Notamacropus eugenii: one gene and its partners. The protein of the gene in region 4 purifies or fractionates together with the protein of the main gene of each other region. This does not show direct contact. Links are inferred from orthologs where the notes say so. Each region holds a gene or a part of one and is shown on either strand. Other genes may lie near its edges.

The links.
Region 1: the proteins of SMAD3 (region 4) and RUNX3 purify together in Homo sapiens (affinity purification with western blotting; 3 studies listed by BioGRID). This does not show direct contact. The link is inferred for Notamacropus eugenii from reciprocal best matches to the Homo sapiens genes SMAD3 and RUNX3.
Region 2: the proteins of SMAD3 (region 4) and SMURF1 purify together in Homo sapiens (affinity purification with western blotting; 3 studies listed by BioGRID). This does not show direct contact. The link is inferred for Notamacropus eugenii from reciprocal best matches to the Homo sapiens genes SMAD3 and SMURF1.
Region 3: the proteins of SMAD3 (region 4) and LEMD3 purify together in Homo sapiens (affinity purification with mass spectrometry; 3 studies listed by BioGRID and IntAct, counting the BioPlex papers as one, with this or other methods). This does not show direct contact. The link is inferred for Notamacropus eugenii from reciprocal best matches to the Homo sapiens genes SMAD3 and LEMD3.

What each region holds. Positions count from the first base shown.
Region 1 is NC_092876.1:65,622,412-65,629,375, forward strand, and holds the start of RUNX3 (runt-related transcription factor 3), read right to left. Parts: upstream 3,009-6,964; 5' UTR 2,385-3,008; coding exon 2,327-2,384; intron 1-2,326. UniProt on the Homo sapiens protein: Forms the heterodimeric complex core-binding factor (CBF) with CBFB.
Region 2 is NC_092874.1:380,144,732-380,152,099, reverse strand, and holds the start of SMURF1 (E3 ubiquitin-protein ligase SMURF1), read right to left. Parts: upstream 3,018-7,368; 5' UTR 2,829-3,017; coding exon 2,774-2,828; intron 1-2,773. UniProt on the Homo sapiens protein: E3 ubiquitin-protein ligase that acts as a negative regulator of BMP signaling pathway. Mediates ubiquitination and degradation of SMAD1 and SMAD5, 2 receptor-regulated SMADs specific for the BMP pathway.
Region 3 is NC_092874.1:241,937,672-241,945,594, reverse strand, and holds the start of LEMD3 (inner nuclear membrane protein Man1), read right to left. Parts: upstream 3,008-7,923; 5' UTR 2,904-3,007; coding exon 1,391-2,903; intron 1-1,390.
Region 4 is NC_092872.1:129,940,998-129,948,294, reverse strand, and holds the start of SMAD3 (mothers against decapentaplegic homolog 3), read right to left. Parts: upstream 3,012-7,297; 5' UTR 2,556-3,011; coding exon 2,350-2,555; intron 1-2,349. UniProt on the Homo sapiens protein: Receptor-regulated SMAD (R-SMAD) that is an intracellular signal transducer and transcriptional modulator activated by TGF-beta (transforming growth factor) and activin type 1 receptor kinases.

The DNA of each region.
Region 1 (6,964 bases), on a different chromosome or scaffold from region 4:
TCTCCTCTGGCCCCAGAGTCTTGTCCTGCCTGGGCCTGGCTTCTAGAGATGGAGTCTGGGATTTGACTCACAAGACCAAATGACTGGATTCAGTGAAATGCAGGCTGGTTGGACACAGATGGACAAACTAGGGAATGGTAGTGTGACCTCCAGCTGGCCTCCAAGTCACTACTCTTGTGGACCCAAGTCTACTAGCGATTTCTACTGTAATATAAAGAACACTAGCTAGGCAACCAGGAGACAGTCCAAGTCTTAGCTTAGCCAACAAAGTCTGTTTCCCAAAGCCTCCTCTAAAGAGCCTTAGTTTCCCCACTTGCTGAATTCTTCTCAGCTCGGATAGTCTCTTTTTCAAGGTCCAGATCTCACATTCTGTTCTAACATTCTATAGCCTTAGGTCCCTTCTTGCTCTGACATTCTACATTTGAAGGTGCTTTTGAAAATGTTATTGCAGAAAGAACACTAGCTTGAATCTGAGGATGTGGGTTCAAATCTCCCTTCTGATGCCCTTTCCCTGGGTATGCTGGGACAACATCCCTAGTTAATACCTTTGTCCATAAAATGAAGAAATTGAGTTAGATGGGCTCTGAGTTCTGAATATCCGTGTCCCACAGATCTTACAGAGATGAAAGATCTTGTACAGTTCTAATAGTCTATATCTTAAGCTCTTTTATATTTAGGGTCTCTTCTTATATGCTGTTACAGAAAGAACATGAGCTCTGGAGTCTGAGGTCCTGGGTTCAAATTCCACCTTTGGGACACAGACACTGGACAAATCATAGAACCTCCTAGAGGTTCAGTTTCCTCATCTGTAAAATGAAGATGTTGGGCCGAGTGGTCTGAGGTCTGGTCCAGTTCTAACTCTGTGTCTTAAGAACCCTCCCAGCTCTGACATTTTGGATTCTAAGATCCTTTCCAGCTCTGACAGTCTGTGTTCTAAGATTCCTCTCAGTTCTGATACTCTGTGTTCTCAAGTTCCAGGTCTGACATTCTATGATCCTGGAATGGACTTATTTCCTGTATAACATTGATCAGTACAATGAGGGGCCAGTATGCCTATCCCCATTCCCCCAGAACCTCACATTACACACACACACACACACACACACACACACACACACACACACACACACACGGTTCTGAATGTGATCATTTAAGCTTCTGACAGTTTCTGAGAAAACTAGCAGCTATGGTTGAGCATGGTAAGGTGAGAGGACTCTCTCTCTAGGATGGTTTGTCCATCAGAAACATCAGTAGGTCTCCGTCCAGTGGACTGCTCTGGGGAAGCCAACAGTCGGATCCTGGTAACCCAAGGGTAGGAGTCAGCCTGGGCCACCATGCTCCAAGATGTATATTTGCAACTTTGCCCCCTTGCTGCTCTTGCCCTCGGCAGATGCTGGACAGAGTTTCTATAGAAATACACCTTCTCCTTGCCCAGCAATAGAGACCGCAGATCTCTCATAGGGGAAGTTATTTTCTTACCCTTCCACCTAAGCAAGAAGCCACCTGAATTCTCAGCTAGTCGCTGGGTGTCTTCCTTTCCCTATTTCCTACCCTGAGAATGATAATCCTTGAAACGAAAATGTTAGGAATATCACCTGACTTCACAGCTCACACCATCCCTGCTTTGTTTAGAACTGGGCCTGGGATATTCCAGAGGGCTTCACTGAAAGCCCAAATCCAGTCCCCCAGTCTCAGTTTGTGACATTCATGGTCCTTAGCAGGTAAACCCAGAGGCCAAGCTCCCTTCTCCTCTTTCTCTGGCCAGATCAGGACAACATTTGCCCCAAAAGCCAGAGCAAAGTGAAGGGTCTTGTGAACACAGTCAGTGGGTGAGGGGACACTGGTTCCCCCTACTCCCAAATTAGCCAGGGGAACCCTTCCAGGAATATTGTCTTTGAGATACTGAGCAGTCACCACCCACCCTTCAAACAGCCATGGCCTAGCCCCTCTCAGCCCCCATAGGCTGAGGACAAAGGCGGCCCCCTACCCCCACAGAGAGGCTAAGAATATCTCTCAGGTCATCTATGAAGATTCTCCAAGGGGAGGGTCCCAATGTTCAACAGAAGAAATTCATTCCAAGAATCAACTGTCCTGTCTTTGGGGTGGCAGTGAGGGGTAGGGGGAAGGAAGTGTAGGGAAAGGAGGGGATTGAGTTGGGAAGGAACAGTGGCGGACCACCTTCAGAAAAGCCAGCGTAAGGTAGAAAAATGCCCACCAGCCAACCCAGCTTCTCACTCCCGCCCCAAAGTTCCCCCTATACCCCTGCCCCTGCAGTGGGCAATGGGCATCGGGTAGCCAGTGACTACGTAGGGATTTCTCTACTCACCGCGAATGAAGGGCTGCGAGTAGGTCGTGAAGGAATCAAAGATACTGTTGGACGCCATGCTCTGGTCTGAGGAAGGCAAGAATTCAGTCCTTGAAGGGGGTTGGGTTGGAACTGGTGTGTGTGTGTGTGTGTGTGTGTGTGTGTGTGTGTGTGTGTGTGTGTGTGTGTGTGTGTTTTATTTTTTTCTGCTACTTTTGAAAATAATTTGAAAGAAGGAGAGGGGGACAACAAGAAAGAAAAAAAAGTAGAGAGAGCAAAAAAAAAAAAGAGAGATCCCAGAGGAAACTAATGCCTATTTGTACCCAAGAATTTGGGTTCTCAGTCCCACAGGAATGTCTGGCCACAGAGTGTTCAACAGAAGTATATGCAGACTATCATTAGTGATGGAAGGGGCGAGAGCAGAGGCAGCAGCGGGCAGCAAGGGGGGAGACCCACAGCAGGAGCGGGCAGGACAGGCTGGGGGCCAGGGCTCAGAGGAATGAATGAAACTTACCCCAAAGGCAGACAGAGCGACACCCCCTCCCCAACCTATGAGAGGTGTAGGCAAGGCTAGGTCCCCCCCTCCCCAGAGCAGGGGAGTGGGGATGAGGGTGTGGAGAGAAGCCAACCTTCCCCCCAACTCAGGTACCCCTGGGGATGGCAGAGGACTCCCAGCTTGTGGTTCTGTGGTTGGGGAAGAGGCCTTCAGAGTGTCAAGCCAACCTCAGCTCCCCAGGCTGAAAAAGCCTTTAGCCCAACACGGGCTCATTGGCCCGGGGGGAGTCACCTGACCCAAAACGTCACCCTGGCCCTTGGATCTCACTGTGGCTCCTTCTTCTTTTGAAAAAAAAAAAAAGAAAGAAAGAAAAAAAAAGAAAAAGATAGTTTCTGTGTTGGTTGGTAAAGAGCAGCCTATACTGTTGGCCCAGTTAGTTTTCTGTTCTGAAAACAGTTAACATGGTGGAGAGGGGGTGTGGAGCTAAGGAGAATTTTTTTCTCATCCTCCCTTTTAATTAATGACAGTGTCCTCCTGCCTGGGCTGAGAATAATGTGGATAGCTAATTGGTTGATGGAAGTCATCATCCCTGGGCACGAAGAGGTTTTCTCCCTTGAACTGGCCCTTCTCCCACACCCACCACTTGTCTGTGGTGCAACTCTCATCCCACCAGCAGGGCCGACCCTGGGCCTTTGCGTCTGACTATTGTTACTGGTGAGACCACTTCCATATGTGTGGATGGGTGGCTCTTGACGGGGGTTTTATATGAATTAGTATTAAGTAAAAATTCAAAGCATATGCCGCAATATAAACAGTGCTCAGGGCTGGTCTCTGGTGTCCCGTCCTTCCCCCTCCCTTCCTTCCCCCTTCCACCATTCATAGTTCTTGCAAAGTGGCTGGGCCTTCCTTATACACACAATAAATGGATAGCCAGGTTGTATTCCAGTGGCATTGTGGGAAGGGGACAAGGAGAAGACTGGTGTGGAAACACACCAGTTGGGCTGATCTCCACAAAGTTCAGGTTGTGAGACTGGAGCCCAGATAAACTCAATCTCCTTTCTGAAATTCACTAAACAGAGTGACTTGAGAACCCTGAAGGTCTTCTGACTGGTGGGCAAAGAAGATCCCGAGGAGGTTGAGGGTCAGCATTTACTCCCCCTCCTCTTCCTCTATTCCTACCCCTACCTCTTGTCCTAGTTAACAAGGGCACACATTTTGTGACAAGAGCCAGAGGGGAAGAGGATCAGGAAAGCACACTGGAATGGGGGAAGGATCAACAGAGCACCTTAGGTGCACTCACAGGCAGCAGCTGAAAAGGACTTGTGGTTAATGACAGAAGGACTTCATTAAGGAACAATGTCAAAACTGTGGTCAAGACTCTGCTATCCTCTGCAGCTAGGCGGTGCCACAGTGCACAGAGCACCTGGTCCAGAGTCAAGAAGTCTCATCTCCTTAAGTTCAAATCCAGCCTCAGACACTTACTAGTTGTGTGACCCTGGGCAAGTCACATAATCCTGTTTGCTCATTTTCTTCGTCTGGAAAATGCATCACTCCAGTATCTTTGTCAAGAAAACCCCAAATGGGCTTATGAGGAGTCAGAAACACCTGAAATGACTAAACAACATAGTAAGAGTTGTTGGTAGGCAGGCTCTGATCTTGGTGACCCGGTTTGGCTGCTGGCCTTTGTTTCTCCACTGACTTGGATTATCATTGTAGGGAGAAGCTTTGTTGGCTCCCCTACCCCCACCCAATCCCCATATACACACATATTTGCAGGACAGTATATACCATGGAACACCTCACCCGTATGCTCGGACTCTGAACCATCTGGTTGGGTGAGTTGTCTGTCCAGCTGGGTCTGGGTCTGGGAAGCTGCTCCTTATTTCTGCGTTCTCCAAGCACAAGAACCCCATGGCAGGGGACTTCTTGGCCTGTGAATGTTCCAGAAATGAGTGCTTCTTTGCTATGTTCTAAGGTCCATTTCAGTTCTAACATTCTCTTCCAGTTCTATTATTGGTCTATGGATCTATGATGAATTTACAGTTAGCCCAGGGGAAGATTGGAATCCTGAGGATGGGGCATGGGAGGGTGAGGAGCAGCAGGGTTATCAGGAGGAGGGTAAAGGATGCTGACATGGGAGGTGGTAATGTACCCAGGGCCTGGGGGTGGGAGGTGGATGGGTAGGTCAGAAGTCTAGCCTGGAGTCTATACTACGGCTTCCTCCAGCCTCAGAGTAAAAAGGAAAGCCATCTATGTTCTTCAAATTGACTTTTGGTCTTAACTACCCCTGGCCCACCCCCTGCCCACCACAAGCCAGTTTCCAAGTCCTACGATGTGCACTGTCAGCTGGTGATGTAACCCAATAAGAATGTGCAGCTGTTGATGACCACACACTTTTAACTGGCTTCCAGAGGTTGGAACCCCAGAATGGGGTGAGGAGGAGGGAAGGGGAGGAGGAGTGTTTCAGAACCTTAGTCGGCCGGCTGAGCACCGGGCATCACAGCAGGGCCCTCAGAAGCAGTTAGCCCAAGCACCGACCCTTGTCCAGGGCCTTCCCCAGCCTGGAACTTGCCACCCGTCTCCTGAGCTGTGGCCATCTCAGGATCATGGGCATTCCCGACACCCTCTATTGCCAGAATACAGCCAAAAGCCCTTCCAGAAACTCTAGTCCCTGTTGGAGCTATTTTTCCATGAAAGTGCCCATCCAGCTCCCTCTAACCTGGGCCAAAGGGGCCCATGGGCCAGAGTTGGTGCAATTGTCTACAAAGGCTACTATTGTTCCTCAGCTCCATTCCAAGGAGGTTCCTGGCCCCACATGAAAGAGAGAACATATTCTTTACCATAAAAAGGTCTATGGTTTTTCTTCCCCTCCCCCCTTTTCCCTTTAATGACCCCATTTTCCATGGGTGTGTCTGAAAATTTGAAACATACCAAGTTTACTTACTCGTCCAAAGGAAGGGGGGTCATTATGTGGTTGAGAAATTGATGGGTGTTCCATGTGCTATCGATGGAGCATCTCAGGCATGTACCGTCACTCCAGGAGATTAGGCAATTAACACGAAGGCCCCAAACCAAGCTTCCTGGCCGACAGTGGGGTCTCATAGGGGCAGAGCTTTCTGTCTAAAACAAGGAGCTTACCTTCATATGGATACAATGCTATGGATGGAACCTAGAAGGGAACTATTTACCTTATCTCTGTACTTCAGGTATACACATTACTACATATCATAGAATACACAAGGTCAGAGCTGGGAGGACCCTTACAACTCAGGATGTCAGAGCTGGGAGGACCCTTAGAACACAGGATGGTAGAGCTGGGAAGGGACTGAAGTCTAACTTCTTCATTTTACAGATTGAAGAAACAAGAAAAGATGAGATTTACTGAGAAAATTAGAACTAGAATCCTGGTCACCTGATTGCTATTCATGCCACTCATGGAACCATATAATTCTGCAAAGAATCTTAAAGGTCCTCAAGTCCAAATTTAACTTATAGAAAAGAATATTGAATCTCAGAAAGGAGGAAATGACTTGCCCCGAGTCATATAGACAATAAGAATTTGAACCCAAGCCTTCTGACTCTATGGCCAATGTTCCTTCCATTACATCAGGAGGCTTCCATATATTCATAGGGTCATAGATTCAGAACCAAATTTGTTCTTTAAGATTATCAAATCTACCCAATTGATAAATGGTCAAAGGCAGTTTACAGAGGAAGAAATTAAACCTATCTATCATCATATGAAAAAATGCTCTAAATCACTATTGATTAGAGAAGTGCAAATCAAATTAACTCTTAGGTATCACACCACACTTATCAGATTGGATAACATGACAAATCAAGAAAATTATAAATGCTGGAGAAGATGTGGGAAAATTGGAACACTAATGCATTGTTGGTGGAGTTGTGAATTGATCCAATCATTTTGGAGAGCAATTTGGAACTATGCCCAAAGGGCTATAAAAATGTGCATACCCTTTGACCCCGCAATACCACCACTAGGTCTGTATCCTAAAGAGATCATAAAATTGGGAAAAGGACACACATGTACAAAAATATTTATAGCAGTTCTTTTTGTGGTGGCCAAGAACTGGAAATCGAGGGGATGCCCATCAACTGGGGAATGGCTGAACAAGTTGTGGTATATGAATGTAATGGAATAC
Region 2 (7,368 bases), on a different chromosome or scaffold from region 4:
AAAAAAGTCAAAAACAATCCCTGACTACAAGGAGATAATTTAACTGGGAAAGGTATTTGCAAAATGCTTTGAAACACACAATTATTCAAGTATTTTGTATCAAATATATTCAATGAACTACTGAAACCTCTATAAACTATTTCAAACTAACATAATTATGGCAGCATTTATTTCAATCTTTATCTAAAAATGAAGGATTAAGATATCCACTAATATTCAGGACACATTTATAAATTATGCCTTGAAGGCAAATTCATCATACAATGGATTTATACAATCAATTTCAAAAATACAAGACTGAGAAATTTCACTATCATGGCAAAAATGGTTAGAAATTGTCACTAGACTTAATTATGTTTATCATAAGTCAAATTTGAGATATCTTACTTTAAGTCAAAGTTTTCTGCATGTCCCAAAAGTTATCGTGTAGTTTTCTCTCTTAAAGCTTAGCTAGAGAGCATGGAATTTAATAACCAAAAACGCATATACACTAGTAATTTAGAATAGGTAACAATGTGACTATTAGGGCCAGAAAACTACCTTGAATATCAGTCTAATTTAGGTATTCCTAATGTATGCTTCATAAACGTCTTTAAAAAATACTGATGACTATTTCAATATAATTGCTTCCTTTGTAATACTATGCAGTTTTAAAAAACATTCTTCTGAAAAGGGATCTCATAGTTTTCAACAGACTCCTAAAGGGTAAATCAGAAAAAGTTAAGCACCACCAGTCTAGTCCAATGTCCTTATTGTGCAGAAGAAGAAAATGAAGCCCAAAGAAGTCACAAAGGTGGTCTAGGCCTGGGGCTAGAATTAACATCTCCTTCACTTCTGGTTCAAAACACTTTCCATTTACCATAAAATTCTGCAGTCAAAAGTCCTAAATATCTTTTCAAACACTAATGTCTTCATAGTCTGTATTTAATTATGCTGCATGTTATTTACTAACAAAAACCTCTCTAAAATCTATATTTTCAAATGTCACTGCAGTAACTAAGCAATCTTCTTTATCAAAAACATTTAATGTATCAAGATGCACAATAAATCAGAAGTGAAAAAATTTCAAACTTCTTAACTTTAAGAATAGACTAAAACCAATTTTATTTTCACACTCTTTAGTTGCAACTTTTTCACACGGGTTAATGTTCAACAGACAACTGCCATCATGTCTGTTACACAACTCTTACTAAGCTCTCAATTCCCGTTTCAAGAACAATTACATTCATAGATTGACTCAAATCCATTAGGTATTCAGCAATTTAGGCAGGGAGTGAGGAGGGGGAAAGCACTTTGGAAAGAATACTGATCATTTAATCCTTTAATATCAAATGCCATCCATAAGCTCTTAAAAGTATTTCTGCAGCTATCACATTTAAACTCCTGAACAGACCAGTATATGGGGGTGAAAGGGTGGGGTGAACAGAAAGACAAATCCTGTTCTCTCTTATACTTTGGGGGTGGGAAAGAGAAGTACAAATCAAAGATCATCAGCCACAATTCATAAAAACGCTCAACAAATGCAAAAAAGTAAAACGTTTATTTCAGAAACAAAAACTCTAACCCAACTACATTTCTAACAAAACACACACATGCACTTAACAGTAAAAGAGTAACTGATCTGATGGCTATAATAGATTGCGTTGTAACTGGGAAGCAAATTAAAGTTGTCTTGTAATTAAACTTTACAAGTATTATAACGTCAAAAACATGACATTTTACGCACCCATAAAAACAACTCAACTTAAAAATATGAAGAAGTGCTTTACCTCCTAGCCTGAGTGCAGCATAATGGCTCCTCCAAGAACAAAGATCCAGGAGGATACACCTGTTGCCTTACAAAACCCCAGTCTGGGCCTGAATCATTAATAATTCATTATTCTGTCAGCTTTGTAAACAGAACTCACAAGTCCTTTTATTTAAACAGGAAACAGATCCTACAACAGGCAACAGTGGGTTTTCAAAGAGAACATATGGTTTTAAAAAAAATCACCTACAGATGTTTTTTACAAATACTTTTAAATGCCCTAACCACGCTAGGCGTTCGTCTCGATCCTCCCTCTTTTGGGGGGGGGGGGGGGGTTAAATCACACTCCTTTGACAGGAACTGGACAAATACAGACTGGAGGGCTTTTCTTTCGTGTGCCACAGACCAGAAGAAAGACCAAGAGGGGGAAACTCCTGCCAGGATCGGACAGAACTTCTGGCTTGGAAAGTCCCCCGGCAGAAATCTGTTTGCGGAGTAACGATCCCGCGTTAAGAACCCCAGGCCTGCGGCGTGCCGAGAGGGGAGCGCGGGGGTGGGGGAGGAGGGATGCCGGGGCCGGACACTGGACGCAGGATGTCTGGAGCCCGCCGGGGAGACACGGCCGCCAGCGGCAGACACCGTCCGCACCACACACCGCCCCCCTCCACCCCGACGCCGGCACCACCCCGCCCCCTCCCCGCAACAGCGCATGCGCACCCCAGGGCTTCCCCATTCACCCCTATGGGGATCACTACGGAGCTGACGGGGGAAACAGGGAAATTTCATTGAAGAAACGCGAGTGAATCGAGGAGCCAGGACTTGTGCAGCTGCCAGCACCGAGGCGGGGGAGGGGAGGGGAGCCACGGCGCGGGCCGCCCGGGGATGCCGGGGACCCCACGCAGCGCACGACCCGCCGAGGCCCGGGGGTGCGGGTCCGGCGGGGCCGCCCCCCCCCGCCCCTCCGGGGGCCCCCTCCCCTCCGGGCCCCCCCAACCCCGGCTCCCCCGCTCCCCCGCGCGCCCGTACCTGTCAGCCGGATCTTGATGCTGGAGCCGTTTCTCCGAGTCCCGGGGTTCGACATCTCCTGCCCGCGACCGGGGAGGTGGGGGGGAAGAATCCGCCACAGCCCGTCCGAGTCCGCCCCCCGCCTCGGCCCCGGCCCCTGCCTTCCTCTTCCTCCTCAAGGCTGAGGCTGGGCCGCCGAGCCCCGGGTCCGAGCCTCCCGGCCACCAACTCCAAGCAGCGGGGCAGGGTGGGTGGGGGGAAAGGGGGCGGGCCCCGCGATCAAGCCCGGAGCGGAGCAGATTTCCCACCACCCCCCACCCGCCCTCCCAACCAACCCCAGGTCGAGAGCCACCGCCTCCTCCTCCGCCTCCGCCTCCTCGGAGCTCGAGACCAGCCGCCGAGCGAGCGAGCACCGCCCTCGCCGCCGCCGCCGCCGCCGCCGCCGCCGCCGCCGCCGCCGCCGCCGCCGCCGCCGCCGCCGCCGCCGCCGCCTCCCGGAGCCGCGCGCGCTCCCGCCGCCGCCGCCGCCGCCGCCGCCGCCGCGCCTCCCCTCCTCTCCTTCCTCCTCGCGACGCGCGCGCCCCCGCCGGCGACCTTCCTCTCCCTCCCCCCGGCGCGCTCCCGCGGCCTTTTTTTTTTAAACCCCCGCCCAGCCCGTGCGTGCGAGCGTGCTTGCGCCGAACGTGAGGCGGAGACGCAAAGGACGCCGCTGACGTCGCTCCCCGAGGTGGAGGCGGGGAGGCGTCCTGTTCGGCGCCATGTTGCGGGTCTCCTCGCACCCTGCCAGCGGGAGAGGGGCTTCCTCCATGTTTATGGTCGCACGTGCCGAGCCTTAGCGACTGCACCCGAGAACGTGGGGAGAGGCCCCGCCGGGGGCCGGGGGCCGCGGGCTGGTAGCGGGGTCGGGGAGAGTGCCAAGGGGAAGCTGCGGGGACCGGCCCACGGCACTCGCTTCCGTAGGTGGGCGTGGAGCCTCGAAGTCCCGAGTTCAAATGCAGTAGTTGTGCGACCCTGAACGAGTCAGTCTTGAATTCAGCCCCACCCGCCGCGGGGCTCCTCCGAGGAGAGCCTGCGTGCCTGTGTGGTGAGAATGGTGTGCAGGCCTCAGAGCGCTGGATAAACACCCCCCCCCCCCCCCGCGGGCCCCCTCTGTTCAAGCTGCCCTTCGGCGTCCGCTCCTCACCATAGGGGGGCGGGCTGCTTTCTCCCCCGCCCCTGCTCCTTCTCTGTCCCAGACCGTCCAGACCCCCTTCCAGCCACCTAGCTGCTCACGTGGCTTCCTGAAGGCCGTCTCCAGTCCCATTGATCTGATGGGAAGTTAGTAGGGCTCTTTACTCCGGAGTCTTGCACCCCTACCGGACCGCACCCTCCTGGAGGCCACGGGCTGTGTTTTGTATTTCATCCCAATCTTTCCTCTCCCCGGTGCCCAGCTAAGCTATTGTGCGTTAGCTTGTACTCAGGTAACGAGAAGGATCTTTCTTTGGCATTGGAGAACCCCAGATAGACGGGAAGTTGCCATATCTAGGATGCTTTAACAATAAACGAAACCAGCCATAGGCAGGTAAATAAATCACTGTGGCGCCCCTACTGTGTGTTCAGCTCTGGGATTCAGGCGATGATGAAGAATTATGCATTCAGCAAATATTCTGTGGACTCTTAGAATAGTCAACGTTTTATGCTGAATAACAGGCCCAGCCCTGACAGGCCATTCTGGAGGGACAGGGAATTTCCCAAAGTTTAAACTTCCTTTGGAAACAAGACACATAGAGAAAACAAAGCCAATCACTGCACTCATATCAGGGGTAAAATTCTTAATAGAATCCTATTTGTTGAATGGTCATGTACTTGAAAACATTTTTATTGATATTTTTATATTATCTGCATTCCTGCTATAACTCTCCACCCTCCTCCTGGAGAGTTATACTTTATAACAAAGAATTTTTTTTTAAGAAAAAAAGCATTTCAACAAAACTAACCGACATACCAGGTTCAAGGTGTACAGGTGTCCACACTCATGGTTTCCACTTCTGTTTTCAAAGGGGGGGGAGGGAGTAGCCTGGTACTTTCTCTGCTTTGCCGCTTGATTTCTCTTTGCTTCCGTACTCTGACTCAGATCGTCCAGATCCCATCCCAGCCACTTGGCTGCTCACGCAGCCTTGGTGAAAGTCACCAATCCTATTTCTTATGGTGAGATGGAGGATCACTGGGTATGCTTCCAAGACCTCTAGTGCTGTCCTCTGACCTACAGATGTAGCCTAAGGACCTCTGAGCTTTGCCATTCCACTGCCTGATGCACCCTTAGGAATGAACTTTCTTTTATGTGTAATATCCCCCAAGTAGAGTGTGAGCTCCCAGAGAGCAGAGACCTTACTGATTTTTCTCTTTGTACACCCAGTGCTTGGTGTACAGCAAGTAATAAATAAATACTTTTTCATTCATTCACTGAGGCCAAGTTTCGGCATTGTAGTGTCACAGCTTTTTGTTTCAATTATTTTTATTCTTTCCCTTTAAGTTATAATCATCGTATATTCTTGTCTGCTTCCTTTACTCTTCATCAGTTTGTTTTCTCCATGTATTCTTCATGTTTTTTTTCAAGTTTTCAAATAAATTTCAATTGATAACTTTATCACCAACATTTCTCAATACATGGCTCCCTTCTCCTTTTCCCAGAGAGCCATCCCTTATAATAAGAATAATATGAGAGGGATGGCAATTAATTCAACAAAACTAACCAACATCTTGGAAAAAATCTGACACTATATAATGTTCCATAGGCATAGTCCCCTACCTATGCAAAGAATAACAGGAGGTATATTCTTATATCCCTTTGGGCATTCAGTTCTGCTGCTTTTGTTCTCTCCATTTTGAATTATTGTAGTCATATGTTTCCCTGGTTCTGCTCCAGTTTTTCATCAGTTCATGTCTTCCCATGCTTCTCTCGTGTTTATTGCTTTTTACAGCAAAGTAATATTCGGTTACATTCATGTACCACAGTTTAGTTAGCTTTTCCTAAATGCATGAGCATCTGCTTTGTTTCCATTTCTTTGCTACTATAAAAAGTGAAGCTAATATCTAAGAATGCTGTATCTACAACATTCCCCTGATCTACCAGTCTAGTAACCCTATCAAAAAAGGAAATGAGGTTATTCTGGCATGACCTGTTCTTGATGAAACTATGTCAACTATTTGTGAAAGGGACTTCTTAAAGATTCTCATCTTGTTCCAGGTACTCTGGAGTTCATAGTAATGGCCATTTTTTTAAAATGTCATTTTTATAGTGCTGTAAGTTTTGCAAAGTGTAGTAGATTATCTCATTTGAGCCTCACAGCAATCTTGTAAGATAGATGCTACAGGAGCCATATCACATTACATACTATCTTGAGGAGGGAAGGGGAGAAAATTTTAAACTTACGGAAGTGAATGTTGAAAACTAAAAATAAATTAATTTAAAAAAAAAAAAAGATACTACAGGAATTATCCCCACTTTACAGATGAGGAAACAGACTCAGGTTAAGTGGCTTAGGTTCGCAAAGCTGAATAACAGAAATAGGAGTCAAACCCAAGTCTTCGGGATTCTAAGTCTAACACACTATTCATTAAGCCACAATGCCACTCAGACTTATGGGACCTAAATGGATCTAAATCAAACTTCTTCCTCATTTTACAGTAAAGACAGTGGTATCCTTAGAGGTTAGATTACTTATTCATCATTACGTAGCTAATAAGTAGTAGAACAAGTGCTCAGTCTCACTGATTATTCTTAACTATTGAACCACAAAGGAATCAAATGTCTGGAATTTCATTCTGAAATCCCAGGAAATACTGAGAGAGGTCAAATTTTGGAAAGGGTAAATATAATGTGTTTATAGGTTAAAATATATCTTCTGCCTTAGAAACATTTTCACCAAGAAGAAATAGTTGTGACCATCCTATTCATTTGTTCCCATTTCTAATATTCCCTTCCACCATAGCAGGTTTTCATATGAATTCCCATGAAAAATATGGAAATAGTAATAGGAAGAGCTGGATGTACAACATAGCATACTCCATACCATCTTTACCACTTTTGAGGGCTTGATGGACTGCTACCTTGAAGCCAAAACCTCTGGACTATAACCCTCTGCCTTGTGTCAAGTCACCTCTGACAATGAACTCACATCTCTTCCTGTACTTTTCTCTGGTCTTTCCTAACACTACTCTTTCATTATTCTTCTAACCATAGCTCTCTCCCTTCCTGATCCATCGTTCATTTCATGTCCCCTGTTCCTCATGGCTCTGTTCTAGGGTCCATTTCTCTCCTTTGATGAATTTATTCTCTGTGGCTTTAATCATAAACTGTATGAATAAATAAATGAATGAAGATACATTAATTAAGCACTTAATATGTGCAAAGCACTGTGATGAGGGCTATGGATTCAAATAGAAAAGCAAGGCAGTCCCTACTCGAGTTCACCTTCTAATGTATGAGAAATACCTATTGGAGGTTTCAACTACAACTCAGATGGAAGGGTCCTATGGTCCTTATGTGAAGCAGATGATAATATATATTCTTTCATGCCATTTCTACTGGTGATCCTATCCATTTCTGATGTTGACAATGCCAAGGACTTTGGTGT
Region 3 (7,923 bases), on a different chromosome or scaffold from region 4:
TACAATCGTTGAATTGACTTCCAAAATACCACAGCAGAAGTCAATTACTGTTGACAGTTTGGGGAACAACATCTAAATGTTTCTAAGTCAAGCACTAATCTTTCAGAGCATGCAAAAAGAGTGCTGGATTGGAAATCAGAGGCTGTGTAACCCTGAACCTTTCTGGGCCTTCCTTAGTTCTTAATTTGTAAAATGAGGGAGCAGACTAATAACCACCAAGGTCCCTTCCAGCTCTAAATTTATGATCCTATAACCCAATATAAGATTTGCTAGTAATTTTTCTGGACAATGTACAGGGGAAATGATTCACCACATCTCCAAAAAAGCCTCACTAATCACCCTGCTAAAGAGCCAGAAATTATGCTCTCAGAGCTACTTAGAATGAGCATAAATCATACTATAGTAACTGCTTAGTGTAAGAGCCAAAAATCTCATTATAAAAAGCAAATGACTGTAACTGTATTTATCAACAGCACTCATCCCAGGTGAGGAGGGGATGCATTCTTAACTCCAGAAATTCACATAGGTGGGTATGCTGTTTCTATTCTCCATTAAAGTATTATTTTTCATATTAGTGAATCTCATGTTTAATACATTTAAAAGAGCACTGATGTCTCAATCTGAGAGGAAGTTTTCGGGATAAATAAGATGCTCCACAAAGTAAGACACACTTGCCAATTATTTTTAAAATTCCATCTACCAAAAGCAGGTATATTACAGTTCAAAACAGAAAGCAGATTTAAAGTTGGAAAGGTCCTTAAAAGTCAGAGTCCAACCTCTCATCTCAGAGACAAGAAAACTGAGGGTCAGAGAGGTTACCTGACTCACCCATGGATCACACAGGAAGCAAAAAGCATAACCTAAATTTAAACTCAGATTTTTTTTTTTTACTCCAAATCCATTGTTCTTTCCATTATACCACTGAATATACTACTTATATCGTGTAGGTGACTCTGCTCTTCTTCTGGGGTGTTTTGGACCTCCTGCATAATCTGTAGATAAAGAATTTTCAAACCCAAACAAGTTAACACATTCCAATGGCAGGCTGTAAGATAAATATAACGTTTGACAAACAACTTGATGTTCACAACTTCAAACCTTGTTTCTGATCCAAGAGTCACCTAAAGTAAAATGACAATTACAATATGTTTAGGAATTAGGGCCTGGACCTGTGAATTTCACTGGTGCACGGAACTCCTGGTGAAGGAAATTCTGTCAGCCAAGGCAGATCAGCACCTTCCTCCCACATGTACCTCGCTCTGAGAAGTTAAGTCACCCAGGCTGCCTCCAAGGCCAATAACTCCCTTTCCATTATCCCAAGATGCCCCCACTACAAAATGGGTTACTGGGGCAGGGGAAAGGGAGGTCTTACTCACTGACCAATACTTACTGTTGAGTGCCCCGTCCTCAGACACTCCAGTACCTCTCATGCCGAGGTAGGTGAGCCCAAGTATCAGGAAAAACAAGCAGGCAGCAGTCAAGAGAAACATGGATAAATAGTGGGCACTGAAGCCACCCGTGGTGGACACCTCCTCCCGTTTAAATTGCTGGAGAAGTTCCTCCTCCGGTTCTGAAAGCTTATGCTTGTTGTAGGTGTTTTTCAGGTAGGTATGATTGGAGCCCGTGTGATTGGAGTGATTGATCCTGAGCGAGGGGGAGGAGGCTGAGCCCATCAGAGGGTTGTGCGGGAGGCTGTTGGCGTAGACCCTGGAGGGGTCCAAGTGGAAACCCCCCCGACCGATGTGGTTGTTAGTTTTGCGATCCAGGGCCAGATCCCCGTCGGGGAGGGTCGAGGGCAGGAGTGGGGGCTGTTTCTTGGAGGTCAGGCGGTATCTGGGAATGGGGCTGCAGTCCAGCGGGTCGCCTCCCCCTCCCTCCTCCGGACCTCGCCTCCGGTCTAGACCGCCGGCGGCCCTGTCATTTCCCGGGCAGCCGCCGCCGGCCGCCGCGGGGTGCGAGGCCTCCCCTCGAGAGCCCGCGGGGGGCTTGCCGTGGCCGCGCCTGGGCCGGGACCGGAGCAGCGAGTCGTCCCTGAAGAGCGGCCGGGCGACGGCCACGTTGTCCTGCTCCTCCTCCTCCTCCGAGTCCGAGTAGTTCTCCCGGCAGCTGAAGGGGAGGAGCCGGCTGCCGTTCACGGGCCGGCTGCTCCAGCGCAGCTCCTCGCCCTCCGGCTCCCTCTCGCCGCCGCCGTCCGCTCCCTCCTCTGCGTCCTCCGGCGCGCCCTCTCTCCCCGGCGGCCCCAGGGGGTCCGGGCCGGCCGCGGCTCTCCGGGCCCCCCACCACGCGTGCGGCTTCCTCCTCTCGGCGGGCTGGCCGGGGCCCGCCTCGCCGTCGGCCAGGGGCGCGGGCTTGAGTCCGCCGCGGGACTGCAGGGCCGCCCGCTCCTTCCTGCCGCCGCTGGCCTGGTCCCGGGGGCTGGCCTCGGCGTCCGACTCGTCCGAGCTGAAGCCCAGCAGCACCTTGCTGCCGCCGCCGGCGCCGGCCAGGGCGGGGGCGGCCGCGGCTCCGGGCGGGTTATCGGGGGCCGAGGCCGAGCCGCGGCCGAGCGCCGCCGAGGTCCGCAGGTACGAGAGGTCGCCCGGCGGCGGCCTGCCCCCCGCGCCGGCGGCGGCCGCCCCCGCCCCCGCCCCCGGCGGCGCCCCCGCGGCCGCCGTGTTATTGTTGTTGCTGTTCCGCGTCTTGGCGCTGCGGGCCCCGGTCCGGTGCGGCGGCGGCTGCTGCTCCTGCGGCGGCGCCGGCGGCTGCTGCTGCTCCTCCTCGCGGAGCTTCTTCAGCTTCTTCAGGTAGACGGGCCGGGTGCTCTCCGTCACCGGGCCGGGAGACAGGCCGTAACGGCGGAGCTGAGAGAAGAGCTCCTCATCCGAGAGCTGCTGAGCCGCCGAAGCCGCCGCTGCAGCCGCCATCTTCTCTCTTGGGTGTTTTACAAGCTCCGCGCTACCGGAAGTGACGCGCCCACCCTAGACCCTGAACTAGACCCGTCGGCGTTGGCCTTCCCGAGCCGGCGGCGCCTGGGCCAATGGGAGGCGTGGGAAGGACTCACCTGAGCGGGAAGGGCCCACGTAAGGTGCGGCGGCGGGGAGGGGGGGAGCGCGCGGACGGTCGGCGCGCGCATCTCCGGGGAGGGGGCTGGCTCGGCTTGGGGGGGCGTGCGCGGACTCCGGCGCCCGACCCTGGGCTGCGCCTTCGAGAGCACCTTGACCGCCGCCCCCTCGCCGGGCTCGGCCGACCCCCTCGAGAGGAGGACGGGGAGGGTCCGCCCGGCAGCCCCGGCTCTCTTTGTCTCCCGTAGCCCGGACACTTTCTCCTTCCCTTCATGGATGACCTTAGCTTTTTTCTGTCTTTTTAATGCAAGAAAACGTTACTTCCCCAGCCGGGGCCTTTTACCAAAGAAGGAGGAAGAGGAAAAAAGAGGAGGGAGAAGGAGAAAGGGGAGGGAGAAGGAAGAATCAGAAAAGGAGGACTGATGAGTTTCTGGACGAGAGCTAACCTGCTTTTCTAAGGTCAAGGCTGCCAGGCCCCCAACCTACTGTAAGGAACCCACAAATTTCCTTTGCCAGCCCCCCATCCACATTTTTGAAAAATACCCCTGGGTCTGAGATGCCCAGCCTTGTTTATTTTTGAAAGGCTAGCGAATTAAACGAATCTGATTTTGAGAATCTTTTAAAGGCTTTGATTTCATTGTGGTTATAATTCGGAGAAGATTGCAGAAACCGTTTTTTGGTCATTTACTCCTCTGGAAGCAGGTGTCCAGGGTTGAACTTTATGAGTGAAGAATTTCTGGGAGTAGAGGAGCCTTGAACCTGAGCTCGTACCATCCCCTCTCCCCCAGGGACTTTCTGAAGGTGGTAAACCATTGTTCCACTGAGTAAACAACCGGCAAGTTTGCCCTGAAAACCACTGATTCTTGCTTTCTCCATCCCCTGAATACTGCAAGAGAATACTTAGAACTGGGCTTCTGCCAAAAAATATTTTCTCAGGGAAAACCTTTAAATTGAATACCATTTCATCCGGTCCCTGAGGATTTAAATCTGAACCTTTGGGACTAGAAATGTATTGTTTTTGCATGTTGAGAGGAAAATAGTTACAAACTTGCCTTAGCTACATAGTATCTATCCCATGTCTGGAACAGAGATACATATGCATGTTTTAGTGCCATGTCATGGCTAGGTGACTGTGCAAATTTTATAACTTGTAATGGAATCACAGAATTTCGTTTGAAAAAGACACAAGTAGCCATCTTATTCAGCCAAGTCCTTATTCCAGCATTCCTGACCAGTGGTCATCAAACAGGATGATGAAAGCAGTGCAAAAAAGGCACTAGAGTCTGGCTAGCATAGATAAATAAGAAGATTGTTGGAGGCAGCAAAATGCATTCTCTGGTTGAGCCCCACTTGTAAAGCACTTATCAAAGGATCTGGCAAATAGTAAGCAGTATATAAATGTTTGCTATCATGATTAGTATTATTATCATTATTTTATTACATTACAAAGCAAGTGAGGTCTAATGGGATGTTTCCAAGCTCTTGGATTTATTTTCTTCCTTACAAAGATGTGATTCAGTTTTACGATATTAGTATATTAGAAAGCTGGCCTTGGACCCAGGAAGACCTGAGTTCAAATTTCCCACCACTGTAAAAGTTAAACTGAATATGGAGCTGTTATATAAATTGCCTTTGAATTAAAAAAAAAAAGATTCTATGTGACTTTAAACAGCCCTCCCTCATTTAAATGCAATTCACTTGCAAGTCACAGCATCACCTTCCTGGTGCTATGATCCTCTTCCTAATGAAGGACAAAACTGTGAATAGTACATGCTGCCCACTGAACCAAACTGATCAGTTCTAGTTGAGCAAGACAGCTCTTACCCTCTCCTTTCTTGTTTTCCTCTCCCCTTCTTTTCCCTTCTTCCTTTTCCCTCTGTCCATTTTGGGTATTATACCCTCACTTCTGGGTACTCTACACAAAGGAATATAAATTTTGATCCTTGAAACCTCTGAAGATATCTTGGGATTTAGGTGCTAGATTTCTTTCTTAATGACCATACCTTAAACCCAATTCACTCTGGTTCTCATTGGTTGGCTGACAGTAGGTCCTAACCCAGGCCCCACTTAGTGGTCATTATTTGGGTCCTGATTGGTTCAGAGTAAATGTAAGTAGAATTTGTTTCTGTTTTGGTCAAAAACCCTGAGGTTCTTCCCTTCCCAGATTGATTTTTTTTTTTAATTAGGCAAAAGAGGCCATATTTTGTCTCATTTCTTACCTAGCCTTATTCACTGGATGGGCATTTCCTCAGTCAAACTGAGACCCGTTAAACCCCTTAGCTTAAAAAGACCAAGGTTTCCCACTACATCTGGGGCCATCACCAGTCATCCTGAATTATTTCTTGCCACTGGTTCTAGTTGGATCCTGAGGAGAAAGTGAGACTGGTGACTTTGCACAGCCCTCCCTCATTTAAATCCAGTTCACTTACAAGTCATGGCATCACCTTCCTGATACTATGGTCCTCTTTGAGAACAAAGGACAAACAATAATTAATGTTTAGAGAGCTGGCCTTGGAACCACGGAAGACCTTTCTTCAAATCTTCCACTATGGTAAAAGTTAAACTGAACATGGAGTTGTTATGTAAGTTGCCTTTGAACTGAAAGACAAGGATTCTATGTGTAATGCAAGAAGGTAGTTTCAGATACAGGTCTATTCAACTGAATGAGCATCACCTCACTCTAAGTGAGTACTGAAAAGGCCTTAGCCTAAAAGGCCAAGGTCTCCCATTGCATTCTGGGCTGTCTCCAGTCATCCTGAGGAAGATCTGGTCATTGGATCCAGATGGCTCAGGAGGAGAAAGTGAGGCTGGTGACCTTGCAAGCCCTCTCTCACTTAAAACAAAGTCAAGTGCACATCATGTCATCATTTCTCTGATGTCATGGTCCTCTTTGAGAAGGAGGATAAACAGTTTCAGATAAGTCTTTATATGGCCCAAGAGCTTCCTCCTTCTGAGTTCCAAGAAAAAGTATGCCAAAAGATGGACAATTTTCACTGTGTTGAAGATGTGGAAATTAATCCTGTCCTTGTTTCCTCAAGAGATCCTGTCACTTTTGCTTTCTCAGAAATTAACTAGAACGATAGGGACACATAAATAAAATTACTAAAGAGCGGTAACTGCTTATGATTAGAGTCTGGAAGGCTAAAATCCTCAAATGAGCTGAAGTTTATAAAAATATATACTGAAGAAAAACATACTTTAAAACTAAAATTTATTCAAAACTAGGAAGAAAAAGAAAACATAGAGAGTTATAGCAGTGTTGAGTTAAGATTGTTCAACCACTCCTATTTACTTCCTTTATTCCTCCTATTGGCCTTGTGTAGATGGGTTTCCCAATCTGTTCTGGGAAAGGATGTAAGGATTTATAACTCGCTAGTATTTATGACTAGGTGCTACCAGCCAGAGGAGATAGCACCCATCTCAATGTTAGATCTCTTTTCCTCTTCTCTTTTAATATTTAAAATATAGAAAAGTAAACAGACTTTTCTGGGGAGAGGTTTTGAGCTTCCATTAGGGAGCCCAAGGGGAAAAGGAGATAAAGGATTACCACCTTAGAGTTGTAGTCTTTGGGAAGGTTAATCTGCTTGTCCTAGAGAGAGGGTATATGAAGACATCCATTTAGATTGCCCTGAATGGTTCAGTGGTTCGTTGGAGAAATGGAAGGTGGCCTGTGTGCTGCAAGGGCTCAGAGGAAATTTTATGACATAAGAGTGAACTTACCCTTCCAGTGAGGTTTCTTAGTAGTAAAAGGCATGAACACTCAGTCAACCCTGAGCTGGTTGAGTTAGTATCCTTAGCTATATGTGATCTTTACAGATTATTAACATGGCTTTTGTACTGATACTCCTTATACTCCAAGCAATCTTGCTATCAAGAAGGGAAAAGGGAAGGGAACAAATAATTATTAAGCGTGTATAAGGCACAATTCTAAACACTTACAAATATTATCTTACTTAATCCTCAACAATAATCCTATAAGGTAAGTACTGTAATTATCCTCATTTTACAGTTGAGAAAACTGAGGCAGACAGGGGCCTGATTTGAACTCAAATCTTTGTGACTCCAAGCCCAACTTTCTGTCCACTGCAGCCATCAGAAAGCCTGAAGTACCTCAGACTAACTGGACTATGTCTTTTAAGAGTCACCCTGGGGTATGACTCCTAATTCTCCAGTATAATTGCTCCCTTCTGATTCACTCAGGTACTTATTTGTACCTCATAAAGGAATCACTTGGCTTAGTCTGAATTTTTACAGTTAGTTTAACACCTTGTTATCATCCCCAATAGTATAATATTAACATTAAGGCAAGCATGATTAACTCCTATTTTGCTTTCATCCACTCTAAAGCATATAGTACCCGCTCAAGGCCATACTTCTGGAAAGAGTATTCTACCTTCCCTGCCTCTACGTCTCCCCATCTACACATTCTTCAACTTAGTGTAATTTGGCCTTGGTTTCTACTACGCTATTGAAATTACCCTTTTAAAGGTCACTACCAATTAATTGCCAAACAATGATCTTTTCTCCTCATTCTACCTGACTATTCTGAAACTTTTAAGGCTGTTTTATACCTTGTCTTATGTGACTCTGCCCTCTCTAGTTCTACCTTTTTGATCTACCTTTCTCTGCTTCTCTATTGACTCCTCTTCCTACACCCTTAATGTTATCATCCATCACTAAATTGAATTTTGAGTGAAGTAGTTTAAGAAAACCAATATCTCCAACAACATCCAGGGCCATCTCAAGTTGTCCTGATCTATATCTTGCCACTGGACCCAGATGGCTCTGGAGGAGAAAATGAGGCTGGTGACTTTGCAGAGGCCTCTGTCGTTTAAATCCAGTTCATTTGCATGTTATGGCATCACCTCCTTAATGTCATGGT
Region 4 (7,297 bases):
CTGTACTGAAATACAGCCCCCCACCTCCCCCAAAAAGGTTATAGACTCTAGATTAAGAACCCCTCTGCCCTAGACAATTTGACAAGTTGCATGCAGATTCAGGTTAATGCAGGGCTATGGCAGACACGCTGCTATGATTAAGCCTGTAGCCAATTACCTCCATTTTTAATTTTCTGCCCACAACCATTATTGGGACACCTGATGTCCCAGTAACAGTCTTGTTTAGATAGTCAGTTGCAATATGCGGTTTTCCTGAGTCTGTGACAGCAAGTATTAGTCAGGTAATAACTTCTCACAGTGGCAAGGGAAAATCAGTAGGGGAGGGTGGTTGCAGATCCCAAAAGTTCAATGACAACAAGCTACATAAATTGTTACTTTCTAGGAATCCTTAATGCTTCAATTAAGAAACACAGTATTTTGTAAGCATCTCTTCCAGCCTCTACACTTACAGCAGAAGCTTAGACACATCCTAATCAGGTGAGTGGGTGAGTACCATCAATCTTCCTGGAGAAGTAATTACCCAGGAGTCCTGGAGATAACAGAACCTGGGACTGAAACTCAGGTTTTGCCTGTTATCAAACCATACCTACCTGTTCATTCAATCACTGCTGGCCCCTAGACCTAAGGTCTACAGACAGTATATCCTCTTTCTCTCCTTACTGACTATATTTGTCTAAAAAAACAGTCAAAGTATGAACTTCATCGGTATTTCCAAATGAGGGTTGCTTCTCATGAACAGATGCAGCATTGTGAAGGCTGACCCCAGTGTTAAGACAGCTTGGGATAAATACCCAGGCACTGTGATTCTCCTTCACAGCTGCTCCAAGGCAGGTGGTGGTGTGAGAGGATACATCCTTGGGGCTGAGTGGCCCTGAACCGATGTGGACACTGGAGTCCTCTGCTGGTCAAGCCCAAGGAAGCCCAGGTAACCTGGATTAAATCAAAGCCCTGGGGAGACCCAGTCAACAGCAAATTCCCAGAGTTCCTTCAGAACAGAATGGACCCTAGAAAGGGGATGGAGAGGCAGTGGGTAAAAGGCTCCCTTCTCTTTGAATTCTTCCTCCACCTCCACCCACCCTCCCCCTCCAATTTACCAAAATAAATACACTGAGTTCAGCCTCAAGGGAGTCAGAGCAAGTCACTGACCCTTTCTATAAGCCATCTGTGAAACCCTCCCCATCTTCCCCTCCTAGGGATGCTGTGAGCATAGTAGAGAATAAACAGATGGGAAGGTGCTTTAGAAATAAAGACACCGTAGGAATGCATGAGACTGGCTGAGGCCTGCTTTTGTAGGCATCTTTGTCATCAGAACTACTCCACTTCCACAGGGTGCTAAACAGTTCTGCATCACCCTGAATCCTACTTAAAAAAAAAAAAAAAGAAACACAGACACCACCCTCCCGAGGACTGGCTACTGCCGGTGCCCCTTGGTCTTCCCTGTGAGTGCGGAGAGTTTGGGGAGAGAAAGAAACAAGTTCAATACTAAGTATTCCCTTCTTCTAGAAAGTCAGTGCATTATAATCTGAGCCGTACGTGTGCAGGAGCGGAGGGGGTGTGGGGGGTGGGGAGGGCACAAACTGGCAGGACTGAATCTAAAAATACTCCTGAAAAAAACGAATCCCAAATGCAAAGAGAGCGAAAGAGAAGGAATCTGTCAATCACACGGGGCCAGGCTTCTCACCCACAACCCCAGCCCGGGGAGGCCCTCCCTTCGCTGTGCGGACTGCATTCCTGGGGGGAGGGGGGGAGGGAGCCGGCGGAGAGGGGAAGAAAAGACGGAAGGGAAAGAAAAATGAGGGGAGGAAGAGACAGACCGACGGACAGAACCACTTCTACTAGGACGGGGAGCCGAGGCCGGGATCGCTCAGCGCTGCTGCGGAGGGGAGGGGCGCGAAACAAAGCCGGAGCCCCAAACAAACTTCCAGCCCGCACGCACCCACCCCCGCCCTCCTGCCACCCGGGAGAGAAAGCCCCACGCTCCACAAGCCATCCAGGACCCCAGTCCATCTCGCCCGCCACTGGTCCCCCAATTCCTCCCTCCCGGGCTGGTCTGGGCCGCGTGGAAATCCTAGAGTTTCCATCTTTGTAAAGGTTTTGTTTGGGTACCTTGCCCCCGCCCCCCCTCCTGCCCAGACACATACACACACACAGACACACAGACACACACACACACACACACACACGCACACACACACTCACACTCGCCGCCGAGCCCTCGATCGCGCCCACTTTTCCCCGTTTCAAACACACACAGCCGGGCCAGGCCCGGCAGTGAGAAGCAGCCGCCGCCCGTGCCAGTGCTGGTGCCCGTGCCCTGCTCCCGCTCCGGCGCGGGCACCCCGTCCTCACCTGGGGATGGTGATGCATTTGGTGTTGATGTTCTGGGTGGTGATCGCCTTCTCCAGCTCATCCAGCTGCCCCGTCTTCTTGAGCTTCTTCACCAGGCTCTTCACCGCCTTTTCGCACCACTTCTCCTCCTGCCCGTTCTGCTCGCCTTTTTTCCAGCCCAGTAGGCGCTTTACGATCGGGGGGGTGAAGGGCAGGATGGAAGACATGGTGGAGGGGGGCAGAAGGGGGCTCCCCCCGAAGGGGGAGGCAGGCAGGCACACAGAGAAGGCTGGGAGCCCGGCCGCGGCCGGCCAAACTCCGCTCCAACTCCCTGCCGGACTCCCGGCGAACTTTCCTCCGGGACCTCGGCACCGCCAACCTCCGGGCCCGCGGTGGCCTCGGCTCCGCCGCCCTCCTCCTCCTCCCCCTCCCGGTGCACTCAAGGGGAAGAGGGAAGGAGGGACGAAGGGAGCCGAGAGTCCGGGCGGTGGGGGTGCGAAAGGGCCACGAAAGCACGGCGGCGGCGAGAGCAGAGAAAAGTTTGTGTTTCCGCACGGGGCGGCTGTTGGGTGCCGCCTCTGGGAAGAAAAGGCCAGCCCACGAAGCCAAGTTTGCGCTGCGGGCTCGCCGGGATGTACGGATCCCTCCGCCTTCGCGGCCTCCCCCCGCGCTCCCCGATTCCTTTCGCCCCCTCCCGCCCCTTCCCCTACTTCCCTCCAGGCCTCGGTGTGTGCGCTCAGGCTCCCGCCCCGATCCCAGTCTGTCTCTCATGCAAATCGGCGTGCAGCCTCCCTTCCAAGCGCCTGTCACCGCCCCCTCGCCCGCCGGGGCTCCCTCCTCGCCGCCCCCAAACGCGCCGCCCCGTCGTCCTTCCTCCGTGCCCCCCAGCCCGCACTCCAGGCTGGCCTCCGCGGTGGCGCCCGCTCCGCCCCCTGCTCCCAGAGGAAAGAGATCAGCCCTGGGGCCCACGCCAAACACCCCCCCCCCCCGTGGGCGTGGGTGCTGCGGGGCGGCTCTCCCCAGGGAAAGCCGTAGCCTGCGCACCCCCACAGCTTCCCCCTTGCTTTTTCCTGCAACGTCCCTCGCTCTTGGGCCACCTGATGACATGCAGGAGCTCCCCGAGAAACGGAGGAGAATGGACAAAAAGCGGGGGCTGCACCGTGGCCCCTTTACTTTCCCAGGGAGAACCAACTTGAGAAAACTTTTGTTTTTAAAGTTGCGTCCTTACGGTTGAAGAACGCTCTAGGGTCCTTCTGAACCTGGGTGTCGGGGGTGCGCATTTGCGCACACACACTGACTGCCCTGTCCTCCTGTCCCCCAAAGCAGACCCACGGACAGACCCTCATTACTCCAGTTAAAGCAGTCTAGTTGTGTTCGAGCTATTTCTCTTTTATTCTCTGTAAAATGTAGCCAGCGTTTCGAACTGTTTTGTTTTGTTGGGGGGGGGGGGGCGGCGCGAGAAAAATGGGGGAGAGGTGGCACTGCGATCTGCCCTTCGAGACCTGATTTTAAATCCCCAGAGTCTCAAAGATCCCTCAAAGGTGGGAATTAGGATGGAGCAGTCAGAAAACAGAGGTATATGCTTACACTTTTTACCTGTCTAAATTGAATGGGTGAGACCTTGAAGGACCTTGGAAATCATCCAAGTCTTTTGGGTTTACAGAGTAGGAAACTGAGGGTCCCGGAAAGATAGTAATTTGCTCAAGGTCTAACAACCAAGTCCAGCTGAGTTTAGAATCCAGTCCCTTTGACTCCAAAGTCAGTGCTCTTGAGTTTTGAGTCCCAAAGTAGCGTGTGTCCAGATCTAGGGAGGGAAATCCCTGGAAATTTAGGTTTTCAGAGTTATATTAAATGAGAAATGAACAGAGAACTGGAAAGACAACGCTAAAGGGAACAAGAAATTGATAGAAGAAGATCTGGAGCACAGAATTCAAGGTTCAAAATTAAAAGCATAGACTTGAGATTGCACCCTAGTCTCCTTGGCTTCCCCCTGACTGCCCCCCCCCCCATCAACTCCCACACACAAACACATCAAGTGCCTTTGCATGTTTTTTATAGCAGGAAATCCTTGGGGGGGGGGGGGGGGAGAAGTTATCTAGGAAACCTGAAGAGGGTGCAGAGCCACGAAGCCTGGAGGAGAGCAGAATCCACATAGCCAGCTAACCAGCTCCAGGGGTTCCTGAGGTCTCACGGTGGATGACTTAACACATGCTTGTTAGTTAGGCTACTGTTGCTCTGGGTTATTTCTCTCTACTCTCAGCTCTTTCCTAACGTCAACACTGCCCCAGCTGTGGTTTAGTGGGGGGAAAGTCCTGAGCTAGAGGTCAGAACAACTGGGTTTCTACTCCTAGGACTAAATTGTACTCTTGGCCTTGGATAAACTCAGTTTTCACATCTATAAAATGAGGGAGTTGGGTTAGATAATCTTCAAAGTGTGTCCCAGCTCTAAAACCACATGAATTTCTGAAAATCTATTCTCCAACCCTTGGTTTTCCCAGTCTGCAAAATGGGGATAATAAACCCTGCCTCCAGGCTGTGTGAGAATGAAATTGATTGCCTGAGGAAAGCATTTGCAAAAGCAGTAAATGTAGTGAAACTGTTAATATTGTTTCATGTTTATCCCTCAGTTCAATCCAGTGTCAACATTGTAACATAGGAATTTAGCCATGAAACAAGCAGCCAAAAAAACATCTCCATGCGGTTGGCAAAAACACTAAAATAGCCATGTACCTCAGTTTCCACCTTTTAATTGGCCATTATTCACAGTAACATTAATTGAACAAACAATGTTCTAATAAAATAAATTCACATAATAAATACTTGTGGGGGGAAGGGAAAGACATTGATTAAGCATGAAATGCAAGAGTGAGCCCTGCGCTCAAGTTCCAGGAGGTATCCAAAAATGTCCCACATGTGGGTCCTTTCTTCTAGGAACAGGCAATCTCGTTAGGGAGACAAAGGATATCCATATGAAGACAGCTAACAAATGAATGGAAAAAGCATTTAGTAAGCACATTTGTGAAAGTCACTGTACTTTATGATACAGGACCGATGAGTGTTACAGACAAATGGGAGTTGCTGAAGTTCAGAGAAAGGAGGGAGATCACTCTTACCTGAGACAGCTTTGTGGATGGAAGATGACACTCAAGCTGAGTTTTAAAGAATGAAAAGGAATCCAAGAGGCACAAGGAAAGGACATTACAGCATGGAGGAAGGCATAAGCCAAGACAAGTGGGAATGTGTAAGTCATATTTGCAGGAAGAGGCAACAGATTTGTTTGGCTGTTGAGAAGAAATCAAGAAACTCTAGCCATGAGACCTACAGGTGGTATTTGGCCCATGATGATTGAGGGCCCTAAAGAAGAAGTCTCTGGAAGCCTCAGGTTTGTCCCGAGAACAGGTTAATATCATCCATTAACATTTTTGTCTGACTCATATTAGCTCTGTGCTTAGGGTCAGGCTAGCTCAGGAGTGGGGAACCTGTGGCCTTGAGACCACATGTGACTTTCTAGGTCCTTGGGTTCCTTTGACTGAGTCCAAGTTTTGCAGAACAAATCCTTTTATTAAGGGGAATTGTTCTGTGAAGTTTGTATTCAGTCAAAGGTACTCCCTTGAAGACCCAGAGGGCCACATGTGGCCTTGAAGTTCCCACCCCTGGGCTAGAAATCAAGTTAGATTCCATCTTTGATCTCTAGGGCTAGCTAGGTGATTCGGTGGATAGAGTCCTAGGCCTGGAGTCAGGAAGACCTGAGTTCAAAATAAAATTCGGACACTTACTAGTTGTGTGACTGTAGGCATGCCACTTCATGTCTGTTTGCCTCAATTTCCTCATCTGTAGAATAGGGATAAGGATAGTACGAACCTTGCAGTGTTGACTCTGAGGACCAAATGAGATGACTGTAAAGTTCTTAGCATAATGCCTGCCATATAGTAAGCACTATATCAATTTTAACTATTAGTTATTATTAGCGTATCACTATGGATGCCATGGATGTGAGAAGATGTACATCCATAAGAAAGAGAAGAAACAGGAAATGTTAGAATTGGAAGGCGTGGTAGAGAGCATTTAAAACAAGCTCCTCATCTTATAGATGAGGAGGAAATGTATACAGTAAAAGATCACCAGCCTGAGACTCAGTAGACTCTCTACAGATCAGCTATGTATGAGTAGCCCATTTAACTAGGACATGCACCTGGGGCTTTTATTGTGTTTTTAAGGCTAACATTTTTTTGAATGTTATTGGACTCACTTAAAAAAACTTTTAAAAATTCATCATACAACCTAAAGAAACAAAACCAACAATTTTAAAATTAAATTTTGTTTTAAAAATTACATATTTATAACTAGACCTTGTATCATTTGTGTACAAACTGTAAAAAGGAGATATAAAATAGTAAATTTTTTTCAAATTTATTTATTTGTTTTCAGTTTTTAATGATCACTTCCATAAGTTTTAAATTTTCTCCCCTTCCTTCCCCAAAAAGCATGCAATCTTATATGGGTTCTACACATACATTCTTATTAAACACATTTTCATATCAGCCATGCTGCATAGAAAAAAAATAATCTTGTACAGACACTAAAGTGTGCCTGGGTCTTCCTTGTTTGCTCTATATGCATGCCTTACTCTTCTGGGCCTTGAGTTTCCTCTTCTGTGGGTTAAAAGAGGTAGATGAAATGATCTTAAGGTCCCTTCCAGTTGTATAATCTTTTAAATACCTAAAGTTGGTGATCTAAAACAAGGTCATTGACTGCTAGCCTGTGCTACTGGGAATTAGTGACTGAAGATTTTAGGCCAAAATGGACTTCCTCACTGGGGATAGTGACATGAAGTTTACCTGGTTTTGGTCATACCCTGTTGAGTTAATTTTCACCTAAACCCCTTACAACCCTTTTGCTCTCACTATTTCACGGAAAATTCTTTTCTCAAAAGTCATCAATTACCTCTTAGTCACATAACCCTTTACAG